Saccharomyces cerevisiae S288C: one gene and its partners. The protein of the gene in region 2 purifies or fractionates together with the protein of the main gene of each other region. This does not show direct contact. Each region holds a gene or a part of one and is shown on either strand. Other genes may lie near its edges.

Region 1 (10,934 bases), on a different chromosome or scaffold from region 2:
AAACATGGATGATAGCAGGCGGTGAACAGCCATGGTAATTTTAGGGAGTGCAAAAGTTATATGTAAGGCTATATCTGTATCAGTTAACAGGGGTGGAAAATGATTTGATAGGCGCAATATGTTTATTGGTAAAAGAGCATCTTAAACCACTTCATTCCATTTCTCACTATCACAAGTGATATATTATGTGTATTTTGCAATCCATGACGCTTTAATGCTTTACAAAGCGCTGCTACTTCTATTTTCTTAACGTAAAGAGGAGTGTATGACGACTAAGAATTGTTTACCCGGCGAGAGTCGATTCTTCGTTACCCGAATTGAAAATTTTTTATTTGCTTTTTCTTTTTTTTTTTTTTTTTTTTTTCAATATTAGCTTTAGCGATGAGATGAGATTTTATAGTGTATACACGGTACTTGAGTACATAGCTATTGGATAACTGTATACTATAATAATTAGATAAGCTGAGCAATATTAACAGGAGAAGTATGGCTACCCCGTCAAATAAACGTTCTAGAGATTCTGAATCTACAGAAGAACCTGTAGTAGATGAAAAGAGCACTTCAAAACAAAACAATGCCGCACCTGAGGGAGAACAAACTACTTGTGTGGAAAAGTTCGAAGAACTAAAGTTATCACAGCCAACTTTAAAGGCCATTGAAAAGATGGGATTTACCACTATGACTTCTGTTCAGGCAAGGACTATCCCACCTCTTTTGGCCGGTAGGGATGTTCTTGGTGCTGCCAAGACAGGTTCTGGTAAAACTCTAGCGTTTCTCATCCCTGCTATTGAACTATTGCATTCTTTGAAATTCAAACCAAGAAATGGTACCGGTATAATTGTCATTACGCCTACAAGAGAGTTGGCTTTACAGATTTTTGGAGTGGCAAGAGAGTTAATGGAATTCCATTCACAGACATTTGGTATTGTCATTGGTGGTGCAAATAGAAGACAGGAAGCCGAAAAATTGATGAAAGGTGTTAACATGTTGATTGCTACCCCTGGAAGATTATTGGATCACTTACAAAATACAAAAGGATTTGTATTCAAGAACTTGAAGGCTTTGATTATCGATGAAGCGGACAGAATCTTAGAAATTGGGTTTGAAGATGAAATGAGGCAGATAATTAAGATCTTGCCAAACGAAGATAGGCAATCCATGTTATTTTCAGCTACACAAACGACCAAAGTTGAGGATTTGGCTAGAATCTCGCTGAGACCGGGCCCTCTTTTCATTAATGTCGTTCCTGAAACCGACAACTCCACCGCAGATGGATTAGAACAAGGCTATGTGGTATGTGACAGTGATAAGAGATTTTTGTTGTTATTTTCTTTCTTGAAAAGAAATCAAAAAAAGAAAATTATTGTATTTTTATCATCTTGTAACTCTGTGAAATATTACGCTGAATTATTGAACTATATTGATTTGCCAGTCCTCGAATTACACGGTAAGCAAAAACAACAAAAGAGAACAAATACATTTTTCGAATTCTGTAATGCGGAAAGAGGTATCTTGATTTGTACAGATGTCGCAGCTAGAGGGCTAGATATCCCTGCTGTGGACTGGATCATTCAATTCGACCCTCCTGATGATCCAAGAGATTATATTCATAGAGTCGGAAGAACCGCAAGAGGCACTAAAGGTAAGGGTAAATCTTTAATGTTTTTAACACCTAATGAATTAGGGTTTTTAAGATATCTAAAGGCTTCCAAGGTCCCATTAAATGAGTACGAATTCCCGGAAAACAAAATTGCAAACGTTCAATCACAATTAGAAAAATTAATTAAATCCAACTATTATCTACATCAAACAGCCAAGGATGGTTATAGATCTTATTTACAAGCGTACGCTTCCCACTCTTTGAAAACTGTCTATCAAATCGATAAGCTGGATTTAGCCAAAGTAGCAAAGTCTTACGGTTTTCCAGTCCCTCCAAAGGTTAACATTACAATTGGTGCCAGTGGAAAAACGCCAAATACCAAAAGACGTAAAACTCATAAGTAATTTCAGAGGATCAATTTTTAATGCTATTAATGTGTACGTGGAACCAACACAACCGAAGTATTCATCTTCTGTTCTCATCGCACTCCTTTTCCTTTCTCTGCTTCTCCACTGTATGTCATTTAAATAAATGTATAAACCGCTGTTTTCTGTTTGTTGTCTTCTACGTACGTTGTCTGTATCAACCTGCACATATTTGAGTATGTAAAATCATGATTTGTAAACTATTGTAAAAAAACTTCATTGATATGAAAATCTGTCGTCTGCTCAATATTTTGTCTTCACTGTTCCCTTTATGCATCCCATGACGCCATTGAAAAGCAAAACTTCGTTGCCAACGGTAAGGCTTCCTATATCTATATCTCCCTCTTCAATAAGGCCGAGCCGCAATAAATAATGACGCATTGTTCCGCACAAACATCCAGTTGCTAATCTTGGTGTCACATACTTTTTAGAACCGTTAGGATCTTTTTGAATTACAGCCACGTTTGTTATTGAACCTTCCATCAGCAGGCCAGATTTGTTGGAAAATAAAATTTCGCATTGCGAGACAGAAGAAGTAGGTTCTGAACCTCTTAAGTTATTTATAGCAGTTTGCATGCGAACTCTCGCCCTAGCGTAATGATCTCTTGAAGTGGTTTTAAAACTGGTGAAAGCTGATGCGTTCAATGGTTCAGATGAAACAACAACATCCCAATTTATTGTGCTATCAATTAAAAATCCATTGAGCATCGTTTTGATGAAGTATGTGGAAACACTGTCATAATCGGTTGTTAATTTTAGGATAGGCTCCATAGGCATTGGAATTGCCTCAATTCGTATATCTCCTGTCTTAGAGACAAGTACCCGCATTTTATAGCATTGCCTTTCGTTGATCATTTTTTGAATTTTTTCGTGATACTCTGAATTTCCTTCTTTACAATTAATCAAGTTTTCAACCAATAACTTCAATAAATCATTCAGAGACGTGCTGAAGTCAATTTTAAAGTATGATAATGCTATTCTTATTCTTTGGTATTGTTCATCTAATAAAAAAAATCGTTCATAAATGACTTGTAGCATATCTTCTACACGCTGGCACACAATGGTCTTGCAATCATGCTTCCAAGCATCAGGATGCTGAATATTTTCGAGAAGGTCACCGCCGGAATTAACCTCCCTTACTCGTAAATAACTTGAGTAATCCTCATTAATTATCTGCTGCCTAATATCTTCGTCTCTCAAACCTAATCGAGGGTCTGGAGTTTCAAAGATCTCTTTCTTTGACGCTGACTGGCGTGCAAAACCAGGGTCGTACCTGAAAGTGGCCAGAACCTCGAAGTTCGGATTAGCAACTAGGCCTCCTTCATCGTAACTTTCCATATCAGTCTTCCAATTGTCCATTAGTGACATCTATTTCTTATTATCCATGTCTCGCTCTTCATCTTTCTTTTACTCACTTTCACAAAATTTTTTCCTGCCCTTTTTTTTCCAATAGCAGGTTCTGTTTATATTTCATCATAATCTATGAAGGCATCGTGACGTGATGATATAGGTGTGTCAAGTAAAATATTCTTACAAGTTGTGGTTATTTATATGCTCTATATATATTCACAGAACTAAATCCAGTTCTTCTATATATTCTTCATTGTTGTCTGGTGTAACGGGGTAAAAAGGTACCATGGCGTCCTGGTACATTACGTACATGTTATTATACACCCTCCAAAATGCTTTCCTTACATTCTTCGCTGGATGGAACAATCCTGCCCATATGTAGTTCATGAATAGTCCAGGGCCAAGAGCTTGACTCAGTGCCTCCAAACCTTCTAAAATACGCATAATAGCATGTGGTGAAGTTTCAAAAATATTGGGTATTAGAAGATTCATTAAATGAATGAAGGCATCTTCGTGACCTGTACCTGAACAGTTTAAAGCTAAGTGGGTTATTACGTTCGACGCTGTCTGACGATGAACTAAATCCCTATCGGTGAGTGCATCTTCTAATAATGGTGTTATGAAGTATATGTAATCCTTAGACATGTTACCAATGTACTCAAACATGAATGACATGGCCTTGAGAACACCGTTTTGAACATTAGTCTCTGGTGTTGTGTATTCATTCATGATTACTGGCAGCACGTTGTAAGGACCACACACTTTAGCAACGATACCGATAGCAACAGCCGTGCATACACGTAACTGACGTTCTTGAACCTTTAAATTGTTCAATAACGCAACAAGAACATCGTGAGGTCCAATTGCTTCAGCAATGAATCCAAACGTGGCATTTGCTGATCTTCTTATTTCTTTATTTGTACTTTTCAAAAGTTCTAATAGTTCAAAACATATTCTCATCCATTCTTTAGGAGGTGCATAGGTAGGTGCTAATTTACCAATAAGTCCAACAAATTTGATAGTGTTTACTTCGACTTTTCTATGCTTGTTTCTTAAAATTGGAGTTAAGGTTGGTAAAATTTGATTAATAGGAGGTTGTAGTTTATCCAAATCCATTACGCTAGTAATACAGTACATAGCGTTGATTATAGAACCTAATACCTCTGGATATACTTCGCCTAAGGATTCATACAATATAATGTTCAATTTATTCAACATTTCGAATTCGTGACAGTTCTTGATGACTGGTATTAGTATGGCACATAGATCTGCTGCATGTTGACGAACCAAGGGAGTTTTATGCTTTAAATGATTTAAAATCGTACTCACAATGGGTGCTAAAAACGGTTTCATACGGATGTCAAGTGACACCGTCACTGCCCCAAACCCTTTAAAGATTATAGAATCACTATTTGTTTGTTCTTGAAATGCTATCAAGAGCGCATCAATAAGCCTCGTTTCTAATCTCTCATCTAAATCTGCTGTCCCTAATAAGTTTACTGTTCTAGTAACAGCATGGACAGCCATTGTTCTGAACGGCTCAGCTTCATCTCTCAATGGTGTTAATAATTTATCAATGGTATAAGAACAACCTAATTTCTTTGCTAATGTAACAGTAGTATATGTAACAACTTTGTTTAATGGTCTATCCAATGCCACTCGTCTGACCCAAAATTTTTGAAAGAATTCTGGCGCGATTTCTTCTCTCAGAAATTTTGGCGTTATGGATTCTACAGCGCTACATTTTTGTAATACTAAAAGAATGGTCTTTTTCATTTCATCATCGGGAGAGTCGAATTCACGTCTAATTATTCTCATTGCTTCTGTGGTATAATAACCGGCATACTCTGGGTCCATCAATGGGATCATAGATCCAACAGCTTTTAAAAAAGAAGATAGCACTTTACCACGATGACTTCTTATACCCTTCCATAATGGCTCCAGTACAACGTTGAAAACTTCGATACCATATGGATAAGAATTTTCTGCTAGTGTTGATAAAGTATGTGCTGTAACAATTCGCACCGGAACGTGATCATCCATTAGGCAGTCTTTGATACAACTCATCAGCCCAGTAAGATGATTCAAGACACCTATTCCCAAAAGTATACCTATTTGCTGCACAATTTTTATGCCAGTATGCCTTGCTTTCCAAGACTTCCGTGAGTGGCATGCTGCATTGATGAAAGGAAGCAATTGATTAACACCAAGGGCTTTTGCCACCACAGCCGCCGCTCTTGAAGTTACATTTCTAACATACTCATCCTCATTCTCAATATCAGGTCTCATTACTGTTAGAATGGTTTTTAGGCCAGCGACTGTAGACAGATTGGTGATTATCTCCTGGCCTGTTGAACGAACCATTGGATCTTCATCTATTAGCAATGGGGCAGCTACTACAAGTATTTTGTGAACGTAAGGTTTTGTTAAATCTCCTAGCTGGTAAAGGACGCGATCTATGGTCTTGATCATTAGATGTCTTTCCTGGTCTTCCAAACTTCTGTCTAGTAATATGGGCAATAAGCGGTTAAATATCATTTCTGGACCAAATGTAACAGCTTTATCGGTTAAAATCCGCATAGAAGTCCTCCTACTCGCTGTATTGCCATTTTTTATTTTCAGAAGTAACATCGACAGGGTTCTTTCTTTCTTTTCATCCTTATTTAACTCATCTATGGGTTTTTTGGATATAACGTCGGCGAAATATTTATGGTCAGAAGGTTTAAAAAACATCAAATCATGGATTCCTTCTACATTAACCAAAGCACTATCAGAGTTTTCTTTGACCGCTGTTGAAGATTCATCAGGTGGCTCGTACCCTTTTACATCCCAACGAGATTTTCTTTTCCTTGGCACGACAGCGTCTTGGGTATTTTCTGAAGACGTAACAGTTTGTGTATCGGAATCCGGCTCAAACTTCATATCAAACCTTCTTTTGTGGTATGAATCCTCTCGATTTTGCACTGTCCTAGTTTCCATTTTTTCCTGTAGCACATCTTTTTCGTTCTCACCAATACGTGCAGCTTCTTTCTGCAGGTTTTCCCTCAAATCCTGAGGAATAGAATATTGACCGCCTAATTGGTGGCTCTTATCGCTATTATTAGCGTTTACAAATTGAATCGGATGACTCATGATGACAGGTCCTGGCTTTCTATGTTTATTATGTATAAGTAATTGAAGAGATGTTTCAGTTCTAACTCATCGAGAAGGAGATTTCTGCTCGGGCAAATATCAATGCAAACCCGAATAAGCTTAAATACTAACAACGTGCCAAATAACAGCAATCACGTCTAAAAAGCTTTCAAGAGACGATAATTGGTTGTGCATATCTGTCAGCGGAATAAATAAAGACAGGTGATGGTAGTTAGGCGGAAAGTACATGTTCTTCTAATTGCAAGGAGCTTTCATTCCTACACACCTTGCTTCAGAGTAACTACCAGAGGCAAACGACAGCGAAGTAAGAGTAAGCAGCAAGCAAAAGTAGAACTAGATCACACACGAGAGCTAGATAATGATCAAGCTACAGAGACAGTTGTAGACCGTTCGGTTGGACCGGAGAAAGATATAGAATCAATAAACAAAGACTTTCTGCAACGAACAAAAGGATTAGAGCCTGATATTGAATTAAAACAACTGCCTCAAATTAAACAGGAATTTAACCAACGTTATAAAGATAGGTATGTTAAACCTTCCGAAGATTGGTACGTAAACTCCTGGAGGTCTTTAACAAAACCAAAAATTCCGCTTTACAAGTTAATAAATTCAGATTTTCAATTAATAACAAAACTGAAAGCTCCAAACCCAATGGAATTTCAACCTGTTCAGCTAATGGAAAGTCCCTTAAATGTTGGTGACTTTGTTCTTTTAAAAATGAGACCCAATGAATTGGCGATGTGTGTAAGTCTTCCAAGTAGCACTATGGATCCTCGATACACTTTTGTTACTATTGATGGAACTATGTGCTTTGCGACCAAAAACCGGGTGTTATTGAGGATTCCTCACAAATTACCTGCTGGAATCCATTCACTTATACAGCCTGAGAGCCATCACAAACATTTGCCAATTGGAACCGTTAAGAACTTTTCTAACCAAACGAATATTTTGCCTATTGTAGCAAGGCAGCTAATAACAAGTAGGTATCCAGCCCAAATTTCAAAGTTGGCCTGGAAAGATTTGCCCATTACTACCAAAAAATTACAGTTACTCCACAGATCATTACAAAATTATATGGGTCCATGGCAGATTCCTTTTTTTACCCTAGTCGGATTAGTTCAGAAATTGGATTTAAATAAAGCCTTGGACGATAAAAATGGAATAAATTACTTAACTAGTTTAGTTAATAACTATCACACTGTAAACGATATACCAATAAATTCACCTACCTTTGTTTCCACGTACTGGGCGATTATGCAACAACAGGAATCGAACCTTTGGGGGGAAATCCATCTGAATACAGCGTTGCTGTCGCCTATATCAGTAACGATTATTCCCTTAAAATCACAACATTTATATTATGCGCAGGTGATAGAGAAGCTAGAAGCCAACAGTTATAGAGAGGTCAATAAGTTTGTAAAATTGGTGAATGAAAGGAAATATCGCGATATATCAGCTTTATATCCTTCTGTGATCCAATTATTGAAAGATTTTGCTGCTGGGAATTTTCACAATAACGGAATTATAGTAGCTTTGATCTCAAAAATATTCAGAAAGATAGAACGCTATAAGGATTGTGACATCACAAGAGATATATGTCAAGATTTAATCAATGAGATAACACCCAACTCAATACCCAATCCATTGTTACTTAACATGGATTTAGCATTACCTGCTTCCTCGAAGTTAGTGAAATGGCAACAAAAACTCTACGACTTAACTAATATAGAAGAATTGCAATGGAAAAAATCCGGCACTGATGACGATAGGTACGATTTTGGCGATCTTAGGGTTTTTTGTATAGACTCTGAAACTGCGCATGAGATTGATGACGGCGTGTCGGTGAAAAACTATGGTAGAGATGGACTGTACACTTTATATATTCATATTGCGGATCCAACTTCTATGTTTCCGGAAAGCACTAATGTTGATATTGAGGGTATAAGTACAGATATCCTAAATGTTGCCTTGAAAAGATCATTTACCACATATTTACCAGATACGGTTGTTCCTATGTTACCTCAATCTATTTGTCACTTATCAGATTTGGGGAAACAAGGACAAAGGACGAAAACTATATCCTTCTCTGTTGATGTTAAAATCACTTCTAAATGCAGTGGAAAATCAATTGAAATTATGTATGACAGTTTTAAAATCCGGAAAGGCATTGTGTCCAACTTCCCAAAGGCCACTTATGAAGATGTTGACAGGATACTCGGTACACCCAATAGCGAAGCATCACCTGTCAAAAAGGATTTGGAAAGTTTGTCCATGATTTCCAAATTATTGAGAGAACAACGTATAAAAAACAGTAATGCTGTTATTTTCGGGGAGGGCTTTAATAAGGGCCTAGTGATGCTAAACGCCGATTCAGAAGGAGAACTGACTGAGGTAACATTTTCGGATCAAGAGGAGACGCTGTCTACCATTTTGGTTTCAGAAATGATGATCTTGGCGAATACTTTAACGGGTAGATATTTTGCGGAGAACAAAATCGGTGGTGTGTTCAGATGTTATAAACAGTTACCACTGGGCGAAGTAGCACAACAACAGTATGATTCTATGATAACAAGTACAAAAAAAGGAATTTTTCCCAAGCTAAAAGATATCGTTAAGCTTTCTTCATTGTTGAACTCGAGTTTTTATACAGGTCGACCTTTTAGACATGAAATGATTGGAGCTAAACAATATTTGACAGTAACATCCCCTCTTCGTCGTTTTCCAGACTTGATAAATCATCTACAAATTCACCGTCATTTGCAGAAAAAGCCTCTATGTTTTAATCAAACACAAATCGACAGTTTGATCTGGCCAATTCAATCTCGAGCGGATATTTTAAAAAGGGCTAGCCGTAATTCGTCGACGTACTGGACACTGAATTATTTAAAAAAGCTAACCAAACTAGAGCCAGAAAGGACTTTCGATGTAATGGTAACATCAGTACCGCAGAACGGATTTACTGGATGTGTTTTTCCAGACTTATCGTTCGCTAGAGGAACATTAAAATTGCATCCAAGTTCTATGCATTATCCGATGATTGGAGATATCGTGAAGAATTGTAAAATTTCAAAAATTGACTGTTTAGAAGGAATGTTAGAGTTGGAAAAGCTATAAAAAGGGACTCTTTTTCCAAATATAAAATTCAATAGACCATGCATAATTTTCTTCTTGTAAATATATACATACATAAAATATGAAATCGAGATAGTGTATTGATTTCTTTGTATCAAAAATTGCATAAATTACTATTAACATATGTGCCTATGCAGGAAAAAATAATACTATATACATATATAAGTCAGGAATATCAAGAAGAAAGGAAATCCAGTTGCCTTATTTTCGCTGTTTCAGTCGATGGTTCTCTTCTCCACTATAAACCCAGGGTTTGACTTTCTCAACTCTCGTTGCTGCGATGGTGTTAATTCATGTTCTGTTACTTCTACTTTGACTAACTCTTTTACTTTAGCTAGGGAGCCAGCTATGGCCGGGTTTACTTTTTTGTAGACTATGGACCCTCTTTTACCTAAACCCAAACTTTTGACAATGCTCTTCGTTGTGTGTGGCACACCGATAAGCGACCTACTCAACGTGACTTTGTAAAACACCATTCCTGATATCTGCTTTCAACGTGTTTTAGCTGGTCCATCAATATTGATTCCATCACCTAACTTTTGGGATGATATACTTTATCCTTAATATCTAGAAAAGCTCTTCGAGAGATATTTCGTGCAGAAAGACCATTCATTTTTCAAAAAATGGTTGCACTAAAGCAAGAGGAAAGGAAAAGTAGTGTTGCAAGAAGATGAGATTGTAGTCTCCTTATAGCTTCTTAATTGTAGTTAAGAGTATTAAGTAAATATGACACAAGACAAAGAAGTCAAAGTGGTTGCCCCAGATGTTGCGCCCGACCAAGAAGTAGAAATTAATAAATCTGTAAAAGATGCAAAACATCAAACCAATGATGATTCGTTACTTCAACATAAAAAGAAGGGCAAGAAAGGTAAAAAATCGAAGCCCATAGTGACCCCAGAACATATCGCTAAGGTTCGTGCCGAAAGGGAAGTTATGAGAAAGGCTAAAAGAGATGCAATGTTGGCTCAAGGTGTTGATCCGGACTGCCCGCCAGAGCTGCATTTTATCAGAAGACCTTTCCTATCTCTACATGAGGCAGAGCCAGTAACTGGATTTAGATTCAAGCTAATGACTTATAATTGCTTGGCGCAAGCTCTAATCCGCAGAAAGCTGTTCCCGGATAGTGGTGACGCTTTAAAATGGTACAGGCGTTCTAAAGTTCTCTTAAACGAGTTTAAATATTATAATTCCGATGTCATTTGTTTGCAAGAGATTGATCATATTCAGTTTCAAAGCTTTTGGAAAGATGAATTCAGTAAATTGGGATACGATGG
Region 2 (10,934 bases):
TATCTATGTATGACATTGGAGTGTGTAAAATTCTTTTCACAGCCCTCAAATTTAACCATTTCGATGCCATAATACCCATTGCGCAAAGTATGGTGAACTGGCCATTCATGAATATGAAAGCAGCAAACACAAAGAAGGAGTAAAGACCCATATAAAAACTGGGTGGTCTGTTTTTGAATTTATTCTCAGTCCAGTAAGATAACCAAACGGAAGAAAAAAGTGAGCAGAATGTGGTTCCAACGACTAAAATTGCATACAACGGTAGTGCGATAAAACCCCACTTACCTACTGCAGCTTTAATGTATTCACGGTATATTTTCAGACTGATACTATTGACTGCTCTTTCTTCTTTACTACTAGTATGACCATCCGCTACAATTTTACCACTATTTGCAGTTTGTGACATTTCTGTAGCCTTTTTCTTCAGTTCAGTCAATTCCTTTACCTCTGATTCATATTTTAGTTGTCCCAATTCACCGGCAACAACCGCTTCCTGTTCTTCATCCTCTTTCTCCGAATTTTGAGAAGAGAATTGTAAAAGATTTATCAAAGTTTGATTACGAGCTTTTAGCTCATCAACAGTACCAATATCGACTTGGCCATCAGTACCTAAAACGATGACTCTAGAAGCTCTCTCAATCAGTGACAATTGATGCGTTGCTAAAATTCTGGTTTTATTAGCAAGCATTCCGGTTAGACATTCATCCATGATGTGTTTACCAACACGAGAATCGACAGCACTTAGGACATCGTCGAATAGATAAATATCCTTCTTCTTATAAACAGACCTGGCTAAATTGATACGTGCCTTTTGACCACCAGATAAAGTAATACCACGTTCCCCAATTTCGGTCATATCGCCTGCCGGTAAAATATCCAGATCAGCTTTCAAAGAGCAAACACGAACTACTTCATCATACTTTTCTTTATTGAATGGTGAACCGAATATGATGTTATCTCTTACAGATGCATTTTGAATCCATGGATAACCACACATTAATAAGTCCCCGTTGACTTCAACCTTACCATCAGTTTTTCTCATTGATCCTGCCATCGCATTCAATAATGAAGATTTACCAGTACCAATAGGTCCCGTAATCATAATAAATTCGCCCTTTTTAATATCGAAGTTCAAGTCCTTGAAACCCCTAAACGAAGTTTTTTCTAAATCTTCCGGGCCGTCTCTGTCTTTCAACATATTGTCCAATCTTTTCGCCTTATTAGTACTTGCAGATGGCTTACCCCATGTATCCTTACGCTTTTTTTTGTTCTTTTTACCTTCATCTTTAGCTTCTCCTTTTGCTTCTTCAATAGCGTCGTTTAATTCATAATCTTCCCACTCAAATGAGCAATGTGTCATTTTTAAAGCCAATTTTGGATCAAAGCCAGGAGAAGGCTTCATTTCAATCATCTGATTTGGATCATCTTCTGGAGCCTCCAATAAGCTTTGCAAACGGCCCAATCCAATGATCATGTCAATTCCAGTACCAATAGCAATAGGTAAGAAAAACATTTGCAAACTCAAGACCTGAAATAAAGATAAAGAGGCAAAAATATTACCAGGTTGCCTGCCTCCTTTATTAACTTTGTACATTGCAAGGAAAGTGACCAATGAAGCAATACTAGGCAAAGACATGGCCATAGCAATCAAGAAATTTCTTGATAGTTGCATTTTTCTAACTTTAGAAATCTCTTTGGTCCTAATATCTTGAATATTTTTTTCATACGCATCCTCCCACGTATAATATTTAATCATTTTTATATTATTCAGCACTTCTCTCATCATGGTAACTCTAGCATCAGTGAAGATGTTCGCAGCAATTCTAAAGCCCAGAATTAACTTAAATGCAAATAAGGATATGAAAAACCCACCGAAAAAAATACCAATCCCAACTAAGGCAATGGGTCCAAGGTTAACGATCAATAAAACAATGCAAATAGCCAAAATTGCAGGGAACCCAGCCAAAAACGGCTGAAAAGATAAGGCAAATTCAATTCTAGCGAGATCTGTTGTTACAAAAGAAGTCACTTTACCGTTAGGAAAACAATGTCTCGCATAATTAGATGCATTAAACATTTTCTTCATGGCAGCTTTAGTAAGAATAGACTTAGCTTGCACACCAGTCAGTTGGGATGTATGAAAGAAATGGTTGAACGTCAACCCGTTAACGAACATCATCAAACATGCACCAATAGCGTAACCAATACCTTTGTTAACATGCATGCTATGAAAAATAGCCTTTTCTTCGACAAACTCAATTAGCCTCTTGGTAATCATGGGGTTAAAACCGGATGTACAATTAGCGAGAATTGCAAACACTATCGACATGAAGTACTGTTTCTTAAAAGTGAATAATAAAGCTCTCAGAACTGTATGTTTAGGTAGTTTGGCATTTTCCATAACCTCTTCTTCTGTCGCTTCTGGATGTCTTTTACGGTATTTTTTCCTCGTCTTCTCAAAATAGTAAATCATGTTTTTTTCAAAGTCGTCATAAAGGGTCTCTATAGACATCCTCGGATCCATTTTGAAGAGATCGTTCGGCTGTATCGTTCTCTTATAACCAACTCGCAGGATGGGTAGAACCCACCAAAAAAACATGTTAGAGATAATATTTGTATGGAACAGAGGATATATCTTCCTCTCGTCATCGGTTTGTGGTACTTCTGGAATTTTCTTAGAGTGCAAGAATGAAAACAGACGTTTCTGAGGGAAAATATCAGATTCTGTCACTTTTTCGATATCATCGCTATTCAAGTAGGTTTGGGGCTTATTTCTGTCCACAATATATTCACCTGTAGGCAGCAAAGATTTGTCATCCCAAGAAGACGATGTGTCCTTATCAACATCTGTGCTTATGTCTGAAGAAGCAGATGCCTTGGGAGATAGTACCACGTTTTGACTTTTGTTTTCCAGCTCCGTCTCCGAAACTGCATCCCCCACGGTAATCGTCATATTCGTATATAGCAACGGCTTTACTCTTTTTGAATATAAAAACAGTAATATTAATCTTTTTCCTCGTTCGTGACACTACTCAGAGGGCACCTGTAAGGAGAAAAAGGTATGGAAATGCGTTCTTCCTGTTCTTGTATAGCGCAAAAAAAGATATACACGCGGAGAGCTGTTCTACCTCCGTATTTATACTAACTGGAACAAAAAATATTTCAGTGACACCTTCGCTAGCTACCTCTGACAGATGTGTAATAAATATATATATGTATGGTAATCATTTAAGGGACAGCAGATCTATTTGTAGGAAAAATATTGCCACTTTCTTACCTTGGCTTTTTTCATTTCCACGGGTGTTAAATCATGTCCGTCATATTCCCGGCAAAATTTCCGGCTATTTCCACGGAACCACGCGTTATCTTCATACAATAGCACATGCCAAAAATTACAACAAAAGCACAGAAGCAAAAGAAAAAAAATGTGCCATTTCCGCCTCGCGGTGGGGAGGAAAATAGAAGCGCTTATCGCAAGCATTTAGTAGAGAACCGTGGATAAAAACGCAGCAACTAAAGAAGGCGACTAATAAAAATTGAGTATGCCTCTCCTTAGCGTAAACAGTAACTGCGTGCTATAAGGTGGCACTAAACTTCCTTCTTCCCCTTTCTATCGGATTTGTGCAGCCAGGAGGGATACCAGTGACGGCTATAGCGGGAGAAAGACGGGCCCTCTCACAACCCTTTGCCCCTTGCGGTTAGTCATATAGATTTTGCTTGTGAAGAGAACTGGTCGGTTCAAAGATGCTTTCTTCAAAGTACTATAGCCTTGCCCACTCTCTTTCTCCCTTCTGATCTCTTGTATGCTGATTTTACTTTAATAAGTGAAGGTGATCAATCAGTCAACTAACAAATTAGCCGCCACTGCAAGGATATTTTCTCTGTCGTTGTTGTTTTCCTACAAATATAAACAACCGGGTAACAGTCAAAGAAAAAAAAAAAAAGAAAAGGAAAAAAAAAAAATATGAAAAATTTTGTTCTGAAAGAAGCGATGAGATGAGTACTCAATAGTAACATATAGGCAGCTTACACCATTAAACAAAGAAGCAGAATGGGTTTGGCAGCTACAAGAACCAAACAGCGGTTTGGTTTAGACCCCAGAAATACGGCATGGAGTAACGACACCTCGAGATTCGGGCACCAATTTCTAGAAAAGTTTGGATGGAAACCCGGTATGGGTCTGGGGTTATCCCCCATGAATTCGAACACTTCGCATATCAAAGTGTCAATTAAGGACGACAACGTTGGGCTCGGTGCTAAATTAAAACGTAAAGACAAAAAAGACGAGTTTGATAATGGTGAATGCGCAGGGTTGGATGTCTTCCAGCGAATTCTTGGTAGGCTGAACGGAAAGGAAAGCAAAATATCAGAGGAATTGGACACGCAGAGAAAGCAGAAGATTATTGACGGAAAATGGGGTATCCATTTTGTGAAGGGTGAAGTTTTAGCAAGCACGTGGGATCCAAAGACTCACAAGTTAAGAAATTACTCCAACGCGAAGAAACGAAAGAGGGAAGGAGACGATAGCGAAGATGAAGATGATGACGACAAAGAGGATAAAGACAGTGATAAAAAGAAGCACAAGAAGCACAAAAAGCATAAGAAAGACAAGAAAAAAGACAAGAAGGACAAAAAGGAGCATAAGAAACATAAAAAGGAAGAGAAGAGATTGAAGAAGGAAAAAAGGGCGGAAAAGACCAAAGAAACGAAAAAGACGTCAAAATTAAAATCTAGTGAATCTGCATCCAATATCCCCGATGCGGTAAACACAAGACTATCGGTGCGCTCCAAATGGATAAAACAAAAGAGGGCCGCGTTGATGGACTCCAAGGCACTGAATGAGATCTTTATGATAACAAACGACTAAACATTCCATTGCGTTTCATTGTGTGAGCAGCTGGCCAGTCTGCACACGCAGCAAGATATATAGAGTGGGGAAAAATTCTTCCCCGGTGCCAAAGAAAAAAGCAAATAAAAATGAAAAAAAAAAATGTGTGCCAGTACGACAGCATACCGCAACGAGTTTTTACATACATGATTAAACTAGTAAGTAATATTATAAGTATTTATTGAACTTATTGCGCCACGACTTCTGCCCCTGCAAAACCTTCAGCTTTATTAGGTGGGTTTGATGGAAGATAGTAGAGCAAGTGGAAAGCATAACATCGCTAACGTCTTCCACACCCTCCATAAAGCCGCTGCATGAATGATAAACGGGCTCAATTCGTATCAGTGTAACCAAATCCATCAATTAACGCCCAATCGAGCTCGTTAACTCCATTTTGGGAAAGAATCAAGATGCCTAGCCCGGCCTAATCGAGATGCATCCACAAACGACCCTGCACGGTCATTTCCCAGAGGGTTTTGTAATTTGTAGGCACCGCTTTTCGCGCGACACCCTGCTGCAATAGGATCTTCTCCCTAGAAACACGCGCAACGCACCTCTTTTCCCTTTTCGTTTAGCCTCTCCAAATGAGGAAAATAGGCACATGATTCCTTTTCACGCGCATTTTTTTCAGAAATTTTCTCTTGTGGTGTTGTTTCAAAAACGGCACCGTTGTTTTTGTTTTTTTTTTTCTGTTTTCTCCCATTCCTCGAGGAGAAGATCTCTGTTTTATAAAACTAATAGATATGTATTCTTTATCTTCTGTCATAATTGTTTTCTGTTTAGTAGTTCTTTTAGCCCTTATTCTATTCTTTTAATAGTGTTTACACAAAGGTCCAGCTAGATATCTAACTAAATCCAACTAAGTCATTCTTTTACATCTACAATCGTTTATATACTAGCAAGCCATACCGAAAAGCAAACTAGAAAAATATGCGTCTCTCTAACCTAATTGCTTCTGCCTCTCTTTTATCTGCTGCTACTCTTGCTGCTCCCGCTAACCACGAACACAAGGACAAGCGTGCTGTGGTCACTACCACTGTTCAAAAACAAACCACTATCATTGTTAATGGTGCCGCTTCAACTCCAGTTGCTGCTTTGGAAGAAAATGCTGTTGTCAACTCCGCTCCAGCTGCCGCTACCAGTACAACATCGTCTGCTGCTTCTGTAGCTACCGCTGCTGCTTCCTCTTCTGAGAACAACTCACAAGTTTCTGCTGCCGCATCTCCAGCCTCCAGCTCTGCTGCTACATCTACTCAATCTTCCTCTTCCTCCCAAGCTTCTTCCTCTAGTTCTTCCGGCGAAGACGTCAGCAGCTTTGCCTCTGGTGTCAGAGGTATCACTTATACCCCATACGAGTCCAGCGGTGCTTGTAAATCCGCTTCGGAAGTTGCTTCCGATTTAGCTCAATTGACTGACTTCCCAGTCATTAGATTGTACGGTACCGACTGTAACCAAGTTGAAAATGTTTTCAAGGCTAAGGCTTCGAACCAAAAAGTCTTTTTAGGTATTTACTACGTTGACCAAATCCAAGACGGTGTCAACACCATCAAGTCTGCTGTTGAATCTTACGGTTCTTGGGACGATGTCACCACTGTTTCCATTGGTAACGAATTGGTTAACGGTAACCAAGCTACCCCATCCCAAGTCGGTCAATACATTGACTCTGGTAGATCTGCCTTGAAGGCTGCCGGTTACACTGGTCCAGTTGTTTCTGTTGATACTTTTATTGCTGTGATCAACAACCCTGAATTGTGTGACTACTCCGACTACATGGCTGTTAATGCCCATGCTTACTTTGACAAGAACACAGTTGCCCAAGACTCCGGTAAATGGTTACTAGAACAAATCCAAAGAGTCTGGACTGCTTGTGATGGTAAGAAGAATGTTGTTATCACTGAGTCTGGTTGGCCATCAAAGGGTGAGACTTACGGTGTTGCTGTTCCATCTAAGGAAAATCAAAAGGACGCTGTTTCCGCCATTACCAGCTCCTGTGGTGCTGATACCTTCTTATTCACTGCCTTCAACGACTACTGGAAGGCCGACGGTGCTTACGGTGTTGAAAAATACTGGGGTATTCTATCCAATGAATAAGTCTACTCAATTGTAAAAAAAAACAAAAAAAATCTTGATTTAAAAAACGATACCCAATATTTTTAACTTTAAATTAAGGCTTTGATAATCTTCTTTTTCTCTGTTATATCAAAGGACTGCTTTCTGGTTTGCCTTCGCTAATCTTTTTTTTTTTTTTTCATTTTCCTATTTTAGTTCGTTTATGATCTCATTTGTATTTCTGTATATTTGTCTTAATACGAAATACGAGTTTTTATTTTATATTCTACCTTTCTTTTTTTTTTGGCTAAAAGCGTGTACGGTTCTATGTAAATATGTACGATTACATGTGTAATGTTTGTTTGGCCGGGCTCTTCATCTATGCCGTTGCCTTCTTGCAGGCGGAGTCCTGGATCTGTTACGATGGTTTCTCGATCCTCTTGGTGGAGTTCTGGATCTAGCACGTTTTCTTGTTTCCACTGTGAATGGCGATCTTGATCTACTATTTTCTCTGGTGTCCTTCTGTAAAAATAACCTGGATTCGTGAATTTTTGGCCCTTGGGTTGGTTGTGACTCTCTGGCCTTCTTCCGTAACTTTTCAAGTTCCTCCTCTTCTCTCAATTTTTTTTCTTCTTCCTCTGCATCCTCAACTTCTTGAATAATTGTCAACCGGCTTCTCATGTCCTCTGTGAGCAGGCCCAATCCTATGGCAGTAAAGAAATTTATGGAGTATCTTATATGTTCGGCGTCTCCTTCCAGCGGAAACATTCCGTCAAGCTTGCTGGAGTTTAGCCTTAATTGCAGCTCATCTAATCCGAGCTCATTTACGAGCTCTTGAAATAAAAATTTGATGAAAATTCTTCCTTGAGGACACGATTCTTCCTCAGTTAACTTAATTATCTTAAGACAGTCCATTGGAAGAAATTCATAAGATATTAAGTGTCCCCAAAACTTACCTAAGATTCGCAGTTGGTCAGTTTCATAATCTTCGATATCTTGTGTATAATTCTGCTCAAAAGTTTCATTGTAAGCTGTCTGCCAACTCCTGTGGAACGTTATCATACGTTCGGACAAAATAGAATAAAATTTAGAGAATGTAGATTCCTGCAAACTAGATTTGATGATTATATCTACCACGCTTTTTTTCAAATTGTTCGCAATCTTTAATTTTAGCAATTTGTGAGCCGCTTCGTCACCTGATAATGAACTTTTCAGAACCAAATAAATCTTCTTTTTAAACTCGACATCATTGGTAGATGTCATGTCATAGATTTGTAATTGACTGTTACTACCTTCATTTGTGTCGGACGTATTATTTATCAGCAGCTTCTGTCGTAGCGTATCAAACGCCATGGTTAGTTCATTGAAATTTTCACACTTTTCAAAATTTCCCAGTTCTTTGTTGGCTTCATCCTCATCACTAACAATATAGGAGTGCGTATGAACTGTGTAACTAGTTGGGTCCAATATAAACAGACCTTGAGACCCAGATTTATAATCTTTTTGCCTTATTTCAAACAGAGTCTCTAACGACTCACGTAGTGTACTAGATAACTCCTGTGTTTGCAAAATATATCTTAACTTCTCCCAAATCATATCATGGGTTTTCTTACTGACAAGTGCAAGTTTCCAGCCACATATTTTCATCACGGCAATGACCAGTCGTAAAGAATTCTTTTCAAGGAGTAGCAATAGAATCTGTAAGATCACGATTTCATGAATTACATCATAAAGAAATAAAATGGACAGACATTGAAGGATATTTCCGCAGGACACGTAATCTTTGCGATTGAATTGCTGCACGAACATTAACATTAGTTCTTTTGCTAAAGTTTCTCCAATATCTGGAATATCAGAATTTAGCAAGGCAATCAAAGCGGATAAAGCAGGGATTAGCCTGCCATTCTGTTTGTTCAGAGTAAAATCCACAACATTTTTACAAATTATGTTGCGGCCAATAAGTATATTGACTTGAAATAAGTCTCTGTGCGATTCCTGTAAGTTGTCCATTGTTAAATTGGATATTATGGGTGAAACGTGTGACCTTATCATTTCCCAGTTTTCTCTCTGAAATTTAATGTCTTCATCCTGTATGGTAGCGGTAGACATGCTGGTTTGTAGCCTTTTTATTCCTTTTTAGGTTTCTTACTCACAATGCCAAAATAAATATCAGTGTAATATAATTTTTCAAGAGTACGTAATGGAAAAAGATAAAAATAAGGACCGTCATAAAAAGAGACGTGATTAAACCTAAAAATCTAAAGTAAAGAAGTGTAAGATGGTTGAGGAAAATTCCAGAGTTTTGATTGTTCTTCCTTATACACCGCCTAGTGCTACTTTGCAGAGGATTATAGGGCAAACTATTCCGTTCTTAAGAGAATGTCAAAGTCAACTAGACATCGTGATTGTACCTGAATTCAAAACCTCATTCCAGTTGGATTCTGCGCTAGGGAAGATGTACAGTATTACCAGGGATGTCCTTTTGGGCTATGGAATGATCAACAGCGGAATCAACATCATATTCAACAATATTCATTTCGTCGAGAGTAATTTGCAATGGAAAGTGGTTTTATTGCCACAGGAATCCACTTTTGAAACTTGGAAGCTAGAGTTGGGACAAGGACAATACCATAGTATAGAACATTATGCATTACACGATAATATAATGGAAGAGATAGAAGGTCCCAAAGATGCTAACAAATTTCATGTCACCGCATTGGGCGGAACGTTCGACCACATTCACGATGGACATAAAATATTGTTGAGCGTCTCTACATTCATCACGTCACAAAGGTTAATTTGTGGAATTACGTGCGATGAGCTCTTGCAAAACAAGAAATACAAAGAGTTGATTGAACCTTATGATACACGATGCAGGCACGTACATCAATTCATCAAGTTGTTAAAACCGGATCTCTCCGTAGAACTAGTTCCCTTAAGGGACGTGTGCGGCCCCACAGGGAAAGTACCCGAGATAGAATGTTTAGTTGTGAGTAGAGAAACCGTCAGTGGGGCAGAGACTGTGAATAAGACTAGGATTGAAAAAGGCATGAGCCCATTGGCAGTACATGTGGTTAATGTACTTGGAGGAAGGGAGGAAGACGGCTGGAGCGAGAAGTTAAGCAGCACGGAAATCAGACGCCTACTTAAGTCCTCTGCTTCGCCAACGTGCACTCCACAAAACCCTTGCGTATAAACATATTTTTGTATATTTTATTGTTGTAGTTCACTATTATTTTATTGTTAGTATTTTATAAGTGGCGCGAGGACACAATAGAAATGGAGGGAAGATTTTTGCTCGATGGCAATACCAAGGATGACTGAGGAAGAAAACAATAATAGACTATACTCAGGCAAACATGCAAGTAGAAGGGCCTGACACTAACTTCGTGAGTGATTTGGCTTTGGGATCAAAGAAAAGAAGGTTATCCAAGACTTCTGTACAAGAGGATGATCATACAAATGTGGTATCGGAAGTGAATAAGAATAAGAAGAAAAAAAAGGCAAAGCCTATGACATGCACATTGCTAAAGTCTGTGGTTGAAAAAGGTATTGGTATAAAGGATGTAAGAGACATGACTCAATACTTGTTGCAGGCTGAAAACAACTCTCCCAAATGGATTGATATTTGTAACAGGTCAAGTTTACAGAAAATGATAGTTCTGTTCATTCCAGGTTTACAACCAGATGATTTTGAGAACGGAAAAAATACCTTTAATGAAATCAGTGATGATAACTTCAAATATATTCCTGGAGAAATTGCCTCCACGTTTCATACATTTCCCGTGATGGCACCTGGTTCCAAGATGACGCTCTTTTCGCCCTACAATTCATTTATTAATGTTGGATTGTCCAAAATGGAGAAAATAAATAAATTGAAAGAGTTACAAAAGAAGAAGAAAATTACTATTAACGATTTGGTTCTATCCGAACAACAGTTAGTGGCAAACGATTACCCACTGGATTCTGGAGACACCAATTTTGATACAGACTGGGT
Region 3 (10,934 bases), on a different chromosome or scaffold from region 2:
AAAACCATTGCTAAAATCTTGACTGTCTTCCTTATCGCCATTTTCATCGCCCTCACCGTCATCGCCATTTTCATCGCCCTCACCGTCATCGCCATTTTCATCGCCCTCACCGTCATCGTCATCGTCATCGTCCTCACTATCATCGTCATCACCACCATCATCATCATCATCCTCAGAGTCCTCATCAGTATCATCATCTTCATTGTCCTCACTATTTCCCACCTCTTCACTTTGTTGATCTGTCTCCGCATCAGGTTTATAATGTAAACCCAAGCCCATCATAGCTTTCTGTATCGCGTTCGATGTTTTACTTCTGTTTTTGAGATCTTCTGTGGATTCAGTAACATCTTCATTAGCAGTATTCTTTGGTTTATTGAAATATTCCTTCCATGAATTCCATAAGTTGGCTGCTGGCTTGTCTGTATTCTTTCCAGGATTTACAGAAATTTGGGAAACAGACTTTTTTGACTCGATGCTTTCCTGGTCTTTGATATCCTCCTCGCTTTGATGACCATTTTTATTGCTTGAAGAGTTGCTAGAGCTTCTTTTTAAATTATGAAATGTGGCCAAAAATCGTTGCTGTAATAGAGACAGAGTGTCGGCACCGTTATATATATGCTTCGGAGGAAACAAGTCGAACAATCTATCATCTGTTCTTGAGTTGAATATCAGAAAATTTTGAGTCTCTTTCCAACTCTGAACCCAATTCAAATTGAATAAATGAACGGGATTGGAATTTAGCATATCCTCAGGTATAGTCTTCAAAGCTTGATCATTCTCTTTATGCAGGTCCAAATAATCACTTAATTTAACACTGGAAAGTAACCCCGTTAAATAGTCCTCGAATTGCCACCTAATGAAATCCTCACTGCCTTCAAATTGAGAGTTTTTTGGAGTTTCATCATCATTTTCGTTCCATGTGTCTGATACAATTCCAGATATAGATTCAATCCATTTTTTATCATGACTTGACAATTGGAGGACGGGGTTCAAAGTCTTGTCCAGAATATCTACAGTGGAATTGTCTGTATTGACAAATATGTGGCACAGTTCCTCCTTTTGTTCAGCAAGCAATGTGTTGGAACTTCCAATCATAAAAAACAAAGTACGTTCTGACCGTATGTCATTCATTTGCTGCAGTGGAGTATAGGGTGAAAATAGTCCACCTTTTTCGAAAATCGGTAATGGAAAACCTAAGAATCTCAACACTGATTCTCGATTGCTTGATTTAAACGAGTCCACAACATTTAATTTCGAAATATCCTGAAACAACTGAGGACTGCCAGAATCCTGCAAATTTGACATCAAGTCCGGAATTAAGCTGATCAGACCGAACTGTAAATTACACAAAGCTTCCACGTCGTTGCCGTAAACTATAATTTTTTTTTCAAGCATAATTGCTTTCAATAAGACTAAAGCGTTTCTCTTAAAATCATGTAGTATCTTTCTCAGACATAACCCAATATAAAGACGATTTTCGGCATTTCTGACCAATGATGCAGGCGTGTAAATCGACTTCAGGTTTTCGTATAAAGACTGGATTATCTTCCTGTCCCCAAAATCATGCTGCAAGAAAAAAGCATTAGTCACAATACTAAGTTTGTCCTTGATTTGACCGAAGATTGGTTGCCTTGAGATGACTACAATTGCCTTCTGTACAGTAGATCGTGTTACATCCTTATCTTTAGTGACCAATTCATCACTCTTTATCTGTCTCGAGCAAGATATGGCAAACAAAGTCGTGTTGTCATTGATGCTATCATCACTCAGATCAGTTGCCCCGTTGGGAGGGCTCCTTTGTCTTCTTTCATCATATAGTAATGTGAAATAAGTAAATGTTTCTTCAAACGAGTGAGAACCATCAGGAAGGGCCTGGAAGGGTAAATTTGGCCATAGTTCTGCACTTTGGGTGCCCTCAGGTAAGCCATACCAGTATTCTATTTCAGGGCCTCTTTTGTGATGAAAGTCCACAAGGCAGATACCGAAGATGACTGCTTCCTCGTGTTCATCCATTATTTTGACAACAAGGTTGCAGCGAGGCAGAATGTATATGTTAGTTTGATATGGTCTTCCTGCTTGGATTCCTTTAAGGCTTCAAAATTTTCTTGAAAAGGAAACTTCGTGAATGAGCTGTAAGGATGCTTGATCGGGCCGTACATTCTTATGCAAGATCCATTATTGACTGCTCTCTGTTGGGTTAGCTTCCATATCTTCCGTTACCCGTTCGTATAATCATTACCCGACGGACAAGCATCATTTCAGCGGCTATTTTTGCTAGGCAAACCTCCTAAGCAATGATACTTCTCAAACGTTCAATGGAAGTAATAGAAGTTCAACTTACCCCATTAATAATCCACACATTAGAAGGTTGGGACAATAAAAATAAAAAGCATTAATTAGTGTAAACTTTGCTCCCAAATGCAAGTCTAAGGTAAGTTCTTTGGTTCATGGAGTTTTTGCAGTGTAATCTCACGTGCACTAGACTGAGTAAAGCGAACCTGAGTTCAAGAAATAATGATTCACCTATGACATATAGTCCAACTATACAAGCAATGAACCCTTACGGATTGAAGTCATTCAATGTTCAATGTTTGTTGTAATAAGAAATATTACTAGAAAAAGATTTTTTCTTTCGGCGGCGTTTTCCCGCTTTTCTTAAACAATCTGCAGTTTTAACATCGAATTCACGAATATTTGTTCGCTAAAGAAATAACACAGAAGATGAAATGAAGAACATACATTGAGGGCGACGAATATATATGACTTATAAATACAATTGCTGTGATGATGGATCAGGAACCACCGTTGGTTCAGTGGTACGATTTGATAACGTCACCTTGTTAATCGATCCCGGTTGGAATCCATCTAAAGTATCGTATGAGCAATGCATCAAGTACTGGGAAAAAGTGATACCGGAAATTGATGTAATAATACTATCACAACCAACAATTGAATGTTTAGGTGCTCATTCCCTTCTGTACTATAATTTTACCTCGCATTTCATATCCAGAATTCAAGTTTACGCAACTCTTCCTGTTATCAACTTAGGGAGAGTTTCCACCATAGATTCATATGCATCTGCAGGTGTTATAGGTCCATATGACACAAATAAACTCGATCTTGAAGATATTGAGATATCTTTTGATCATATTGTACCTTTGAAGTACTCGCAATTGGTAGATCTACGATCAAGATACGATGGATTGACTTTACTGGCGTACAATGCTGGTGTGTGTCCAGGTGGTTCTATTTGGTGCATTAGCACATACTCAGAGAAATTGGTTTATGCAAAGCGATGGAACCACACTAGAGATAACATACTAAATGCTGCTTCTATATTGGACGCCACTGGTAAGCCCTTATCAACTTTGATGAGGCCCTCTGCAATAATTACTACTTTGGACAGGTTTGGCTCCTCTCAACCGTTTAAAAAACGTTCAAAAATCTTTAAAGATACATTAAAGAAAGGTTTGAGTTCGGATGGGTCCGTTATAATACCGGTAGATATGAGTGGCAAATTTCTGGACCTGTTCACACAAGTTCATGAGTTATTATTTGAAAGCACAAAGATCAATGCGCACACACAAGTACCTGTACTTATTCTGTCTTACGCGAGAGGAAGAACTCTAACATATGCCAAATCAATGCTCGAGTGGCTGTCCCCTTCACTACTTAAGACATGGGAAAACAGAAATAATACTTCTCCATTTGAAATTGGATCACGGATCAAAATCATCGCACCAAACGAATTGAGTAAATATCCTGGTTCAAAGATTTGCTTCGTATCTGAGGTAGGAGCTTTGATTAATGAAGTGATAATTAAAGTTGGTAATTCTGAGAAGACAACCTTGATTTTGACCAAGCCGAGCTTTGAATGTGCGTCGTCTTTAGACAAGATACTAGAAATTGTTGAACAAGATGAAAGAAATTGGAAAACATTTCCTGAAGATGGTAAATCATTCCTCTGCGATAATTACATTTCAATAGACACCATAAAAGAAGAACCCTTGAGTAAAGAGGAAACAGAGGCGTTTAAAGTACAGCTTAAAGAAAAGAAAAGGGACAGAAATAAGAAAATTCTACTGGTGAAAAGAGAGTCTAAGAAACTGGCTAACGGCAACGCAATCATAGATGATACCAACGGAGAGAGGGCAATGAGAAATCAAGACATTTTAGTGGAAAACGTCAATGGAGTACCACCGATTGATCATATTATGGGGGGTGACGAAGATGATGATGAAGAGGAAGAAAACGACAATTTGTTGAATTTACTCAAGGATAACTCTGAGAAATCAGCAGCGAAAAAAAATACGGAAGTTCCTGTAGACATTATAATTCAACCAAGTGCCGCTTCAAAACATAAAATGTTCCCATTTAACCCCGCTAAAATCAAGAAAGATGATTATGGTACTGTTGTAGATTTTACGATGTTTTTACCTGATGATTCTGACAATGTTAATCAAAATAGCAGGAAAAGACCTCTCAAAGACGGTGCTAAAACCACGAGCCCTGTAAACGAAGAAGATAACAAAAATGAAGAAGAAGATGGTTATAATATGAGTGATCCAATTAGCAAAAGGAGCAAACACCGTGCTTCTCGTTACTCGGGATTTTCTGGAACCGGAGAAGCAGAAAATTTTGATAACCTTGACTATTTAAAGATAGACAAAACGCTCTCCAAAAGAACAATCTCAACTGTAAATGTCCAATTGAAATGCTCCGTAGTAATCCTAAATTTACAGAGTTTAGTTGATCAAAGGTCTGCATCTATTATATGGCCATCGCTAAAATCTAGAAAAATAGTTCTTTCCGCCCCCAAACAGATTCAAAATGAAGAAATTACGGCAAAACTTATCAAGAAAAATATTGAAGTGGTCAACATGCCATTAAATAAGATAGTGGAATTCAGTACAACAATAAAGACCCTGGATATCTCCATTGACTCCAACCTCGATAACCTTTTGAAATGGCAACGTATCAGTGATAGTTATACAGTTGCCACTGTCGTTGGCAGGCTGGTTAAGGAGAGCCTACCGCAAGTGAACAATCATCAAAAAACAGCGTCAAGGAGTAAACTAGTCTTGAAACCATTACACGGTTCATCTAGGAGCCATAAAACAGGTGCGTTGTCAATCGGTGACGTTAGGTTAGCACAATTAAAGAAACTTCTCACAGAGAAAAACTACATTGCAGAATTTAAAGGGGAAGGTACACTTGTCATAAATGAAAAAGTAGCAGTCCGCAAAATCAATGATGCAGAAACTATTATCGATGGTACGCCTTCCGAACTTTTTGATACTGTCAAAAAATTGGTTACGGATATGTTAGCAAAAATCTAGCCTTCTTGTATACAGCACAAATAAAAGGTTCAATTTACGTTCGTGGACTGCCCACAAAACAGTATGTGACATAAATTGCTGTGTATCTCGCACCGCTATTATCTGTATATAACATTCTAACTCACTTTTAACGATATTAGCATTATTGATTTCTTTCTTTTTCTGCTGAATTTCACCAAGCGGAAATTTTCAAAGCAGAATTTTTTCCCTAATTTGCTACAAGTGCTATTCTATCCCACAATAAAAGGAAATTGTTGATGAGTTTTAGAAGGATTAACTCTAGATACTTTGAAAATAGAAAAGGAAGCAGTATGGAAGAAAAAAAAGCAAAGGTTCCTCCAAACGTCAACCTTTCGTTATGGAGAAAGAACACGGTAGAAAGCGATGTCCATCGATTCAATTCTCTTCCATCAAAAATTAGTGGGGCCCTAACTAGGGAACAAATATACTCCTATCAAGTCATGTTTAGGATTCAAGAAATTACCATCAAACTGCGTACGAACGATTTTGTGCCCCCCTCCAGGAAAAATAGGTCACCTTCTCCGCCACCAGTTTATGATGCCCAAGGTAAAAGAACGAATACCCGTGAGCAGAGGTATAGAAAGAAACTAGAGGATGAACGTATTAAACTTGTTGAGATAGCCCTAAAGACCATCCCTTACTTCGTTCCTCCGGATGATTACAAGAGACCTACCAAATTTCAGGACAAGTATTATATCCCGGTGGATCAGTATCCTGATGTCAATTTTGTTGGTTTATTATTAGGTCCTCGTGGACGTACGTTAAGAAAGCTGCAAGAAGATTCGAATTGTAAGATTGCAATTAGAGGAAGAGGTTCAGTCAAAGAAGGTAAGAATGCAAGTGACTTACCTCCAGGCGCCATGAACTTTGAGGACCCCTTGCACTGTTTAATTATCGCAGACTCGGAAGACAAGATCCAAAAAGGTATAAAAGTTTGTCAAAACATTGTTATCAAAGCGGTGACATCTCCGGAAGGCCAGAATGACTTGAAACGAGGACAACTGAGAGAATTGGCGGAACTTAATGGTACTTTAAGAGAAGATAACAGGCCCTGTCCAATCTGTGGTTTAAAAGATCATAAAAGGTACGATTGTCCAAACAGAAAAATCCCAAATATACAGGGCATTGTTTGCAAAATATGTGGACAAACTGGACATTTCAGTAGAGACTGTAACTCATCGTCTCAAAGAATGAGCCGTTTTGACAGAAACGCCACGGTAAATAATTCTGCGCCAATACAGAGCAATGACGTACACTATAATAGCAATACTCATCCAATTCAAGCACCAAAAAGATCTCGTTATGACAATAACTCGACGGAACCTCCTTTAAAATTTCCGGCTTCTTCACGTTATGCACCATCACCTTCACCTCCTGCGTCACATATTTCGAGGCAAGCTCAAAACGTGACGCCTACACCCCCTCCCGGCCTAACATCAAGTAGCTTTAGTTCCGGAGTTCCAGGAATCGCCCCTCCCCCATTACAAAGCCCTCCAGAGTCGGAACAACCGAAATTTTCGCTACCTCCACCTCCCGGTATGACTACGGTACAATCCTCAATTGCACCTCCTCCTGGCCTAAGCGGTCCTCCAGGGTTTTCTAATAACATGGGCAATGACATTAACAAACCTACACCTCCGGGACTGCAAGGGCCTCCCGGATTATAATACACTCCCATTATACAATATCTGCATTTTTTTTTATTTGTGTTGAAGGTATGTAGTCTCTATTTTGCATAGTTCCTTTTTTTGTTGGTTTTTTGCCTTCCTGGTTATTATTAACTTTTGATATTTAATTTACTTACTAGCTTATTCTACTACTGTTTAGTTTCTACGGCCTGAACTACAATGACAAAAATATTATTTCACGATACCCTTACCTTTATTCAAAGTGCCTGTTCCTGTTTCCATTTTTTGGCTAGTTCCAAGAACTTTGATGGTTTTGGCTTGTCATCATCGATATCATCAGGAAAAATGTAATCCACGAATTCTTCTTCCACACCGTTCTGTAACCTCACTTTTTTGATTACTTTAGGGAATCTTTTCTTGACGGTTTCTTGATCGAGTTCAGTACCGTAAGTTTCTTCATAGTCTTTTAGCGCTTCCAAAATAGACAGTCTCCCTTGTTTATCATCCTTCTCCTTGAAAAAAACTATCGCCTCTTCAAAAACTTTTCTTGCCTCCAATTTATTCTCATCGGTAATTTCAAACTCTATGTCTTCATCCACATTTTCGCTTTGCAGTTTTGCTAAATCTAATAGTTGTTGCTCCGTCGGGGTTGAAGTTTGATACATGGCGAATTCGATCCAGCTTTGGGGGGAATATTGGTTGAGCTCCAAATATCTTCTATAAAGCTTCCTTGCCTTTTCAAATTCTTGTGATTCTGTCTCAAATGTTATGTATTTTTGAAGTAATACAATTTTAGCCTCCTTTGTTAAGAAATCAGAATTTTCATCTAGTGCAATTGTATATATACCTCTTACTCTATCCCAATCTCCTAAATTTTCTTCTAGTTCTCCATATTGTGACCAAATTTGTAGATCAGAGGGCTGAAATTCAATAAATTTCTCATATATTTTTCTCACACGATCAAATTCCTTCAACTTCACTTCCAACTCGATATATCCTTTGAAAGTTTTAGCCTTAGGACATAAACCGATTGCTTTACCCAAAATTTTTCTCGCCTTCGGTACATCATCATGTCGTATCAGAAATTTAGCATACATTAGCCATATTTTGGAAAAAGTGAAATGTTTATGAGGGATGATGTCGTCAATTAACCTCTGAAAAAGTTCTTCTTCTAAAAGCGAATTTTCCAATTCTAACTCAACATAGCATATATATCTCATCCACAGATAAATATACCTTTTCCACTGAACATTTTTTGATAGTTCTTTTGGTCGGCTGTCCACAATAGCTTTCTCGAAAGTTTGCATTATTTGTTTGGGGAAACTTTCTGAAATGAGATCCAAGTACAGCCACCAGGTGTCATAATCATAGGCGTTATTACTCAATATTGTTTCATACTCCATTTTCCTTTTATAGCTAATAGTTTCTTCTATTGAGTTTATGTCACCAAACTGCTTTTCAAAATCCAACAGTCCTGCCTTGAGCAATTGATTGGAGGGCCATTTTTCTATAGCAATTTGATAAAGAGCACTAGATCTTTCGTATTCTTGCTGCGCAGCTTCCCAATGAGCAAATGAATTTACTAATTTTGCAACCTCCATATCAGACCAAATCTGTAAATTTTGGAGGTTAGCTACTGTGTCTATCGCTAAAGAATACACACTTCTCGTAAATTCAGTATTACCATGTCTATTTTCAAACCTCACCCACTTTAGCCATGTCTGCATTTGCGGGTGAGCCATGACGTATTTTGAGTAAATCTCTCTTACACCGTTCCAGTTTTTCTGTCTTATTTCAAAATCCACGAAAGAATTCCATGCATTAACCCCTGGCTCCAAGGAGCACCATTTGGTGTACAGTGATCGTACAATTTCAACGTTGTTTAACGACTCTTCGACAATGAGATACTTGTACCATAACTTGTCTACTCTGGGCAACGTACTAATAGCTCTGTTCATAAGATTCCTAGCATGGTTAATACATTTGACTTTCAGCTCAGCATCAATGTATCGTATCCAAAGGGGGATGAATGAACTATCTACTAATAATGCTCTTTCAAAGATAGATCTGGCGCGCCTCATGTCGTGTTGTTCGATTTCGAATTGCGCATAACGAATCCATTGTCCCATATCCAGTCGGTTTCTCTTCAAATAACCCTCATATTCTGTTCTCTTCCTTCGTTGATACTCTCGAAGTTCCTCCAAGTCTAATATATCAATATTAGTCGATCCTCTTGCTTTTTGCCCCTTCTTGTACACATCCCGCAGAATCTGCTCCGCAGAAACATGCGTATCAACGGCTGTTGGCTCTAAAGTGTCCATGCTGGCAATAGTAGAGTACTTTTAGCTCAAGTTTGTCTATCTATTATGAACTTGCATAATCAATGAGTCTCATCACCCCAACTATTTGGCACCAAGGTTTTTAATTTTCTATCGCGTCTTACGGATGTATATAAATTATTTAACCAAGTATAATAGCGGTTAAATTGAACTCGCAATATTAGGAAAAGAGCTATGATGATAAGCTCTTCTTGATAAATGAAGCCAAGTCTTCTAATTCATCTGGAACTGTAGAATGGGCCATACCTTTGTATACTTTAAATTCATAATTTTGTATCTCACAGCTATCTTGATAGAACTGTTTTGCCTTTATACCTAGTCCAATAGGAACTACTGGATCCATGTCACCATGCCCATGAAAAATTGGTGTCTTTACATTAATGCCATTCTTATGTTGTTTCAGAATTCCTGGGATGGAACAAAATCCCGACAGAGCTACTATACCACCGATTTTCCATGGTAAAGTAACTGATGTTGCGAGAGCTAATGCGGCACCCTGAGAGAAACCTCCGATAATAATCTGCTCCGGTTTAATTCCTTTATCAATTTCTTGCTTAACCGTCTTTTCTATGGAATTCAAAGAATTCATAAAACCGTCACTGTCAACTTTGGAAAAACTAGGATCCCATTCCAAGATGTCAAACCAAGCAGGCATCAATGCACCGCCGTTTGCTGTCACATGAAGCTCTGGAGCATTAGGAAAAACAAAATTAGTATGCTGGAAAGCGGCAGGGTCTCTCTGTTGTAAATACTGAGCTAAAAATCCCCATCCCGAACCTGTATCACCTAATCCATGCAAGAATATGATAGTTTGGCGTGCTGGCTGAATTTTTGCTGCAACTCTAAGTCCATTCATATTCGATAGCGCTCAAATGGGCAAATATAGTGTATGTGTTCTTATTTTCGTTCTCTTTTGCTAACATTTTTATTTCATACAGAAGCCATTTTTCCCTAGAATAGGCGTTCTGAAAAGAAGGAAATATGAAAGTAAAGGCTACAAAACTAAGGATAAAACAACGAAGGAAAAATAAGGGGCTCAATATAAGCAGATTAGATATTATCAGAGCAGAAATGGATGTGGTACCATCTCCGGGTTTACCAGAAAAAGTAAACGAAAAAAGCAAAAATATTCCCTTACCTGAAGGAATTAACCTTTTATCATCAAAGGAGATAATCGATCTAATTCAAACCCACAGACACCAATTAGAGTTATACGTCACAAAATTCAATCCCTTAACGGACTTTGCTGGAAAGATTCATGCATTCAGAGATCAATTTAAACAATTGGAAGAAAATTTTGAAGATTTACATGAGCAAAAAGATAAGGTCCAAGCCTTATTAGAAAACTGTAGGATTTTAGAATCCAAATATGTAGCTAGCTGGCAAGATTACCATTCCGAATTTTCAAAAAAATATGGTGACATAGCATTAAAAAAGAAATTAGAACAAAACACAAAGAAACTTGATGAGGAGAGTTCACAGCTAGAAACTACCACAAGGTCCATTGACTCAGCCGATGACCTGGATCAGTTCATCAAAAATTATCTGGACATACGAACACAATATCACTTGAGGAGAGAGAAACTGGCGACCTGGGATAAACAAGG

What was found.
Region 1: the proteins of CWC22 (region 2) and HSH155 purify together in Saccharomyces cerevisiae (affinity purification with mass spectrometry, with the first as the bait; 2 studies listed by BioGRID). This does not show direct contact.
Region 3: the proteins of CWC22 (region 2) and CLF1 purify together in Saccharomyces cerevisiae (affinity purification with mass spectrometry, with the first as the bait; 3 studies listed by BioGRID). This does not show direct contact.

Annotation. Positions count from the first base shown.
Region 1 is NC_001145.3:841,144-852,077, reverse strand, and holds HSH155 (U2 snRNP complex subunit HSH155), read right to left. Parts: upstream 6,508-10,934; coding exon 3,592-6,507; downstream 1-3,591. Other genes in the region: ATP-dependent RNA helicase HAS1, read left to right, coding at 487-2,004; aminodeoxychorismate lyase ABZ2, read right to left, coding at 2,269-3,393; DSS1 (exoribonuclease II), read left to right, coding at 6,733-9,642; mitochondrial 54S ribosomal protein uL30m MRPL33, read right to left, coding at 9,876-10,136; NGL2 (RNA exonuclease), read left to right, coding at 10,387-10,934. UniProt on the Saccharomyces cerevisiae protein: Contacts pre-mRNA on both sides of the branch site early in spliceosome assembly.
Region 2 is NC_001139.9:1,044,843-1,055,776, reverse strand, and holds CWC22 (U2-type spliceosomal complex subunit CWC22), read right to left. Parts: upstream 9,047-10,934; coding exon 7,313-9,046; downstream 1-7,312. Other genes in the region: ATP-binding cassette transporter YOR1, read right to left, coding at 1-2,953; PXR1 (telomerase inhibitor), read left to right, coding at 4,052-4,867; SCW4 (putative family 17 glucosidase), read left to right, coding at 5,819-6,979; CAB4 (putative pantetheine-phosphate adenylyltransferase), read left to right, coding at 9,216-10,133; RNH70 (Rnh70p), read left to right, coding at 10,297-10,934. UniProt on the Saccharomyces cerevisiae protein: May be involved in pre-mRNA splicing.
Region 3 is NC_001144.5:375,226-386,159, forward strand, and holds CLF1 (Clf1p), read right to left. Parts: upstream 9,310-10,934; coding exon 7,246-9,309; downstream 1-7,245. Other genes in the region: AVL9 (Avl9p), read right to left, coding at 1-2,013; cleavage polyadenylation factor subunit CFT2, read left to right, coding at 2,760-5,339; mRNA splicing protein MSL5, read left to right, coding at 5,597-7,027; TML25 (palmitoyl-(protein) hydrolase), read right to left, coding at 9,500-10,183; ESCRT-I subunit protein SRN2, read left to right, coding at 10,309-10,934. UniProt on the Saccharomyces cerevisiae protein: Involved in pre-mRNA splicing and cell cycle progression. Required for the spliceosome assembly by promoting the functional integration of the U4/U6.U5 tri-snRNP particle into the U1-, U2-dependent pre-spliceosome.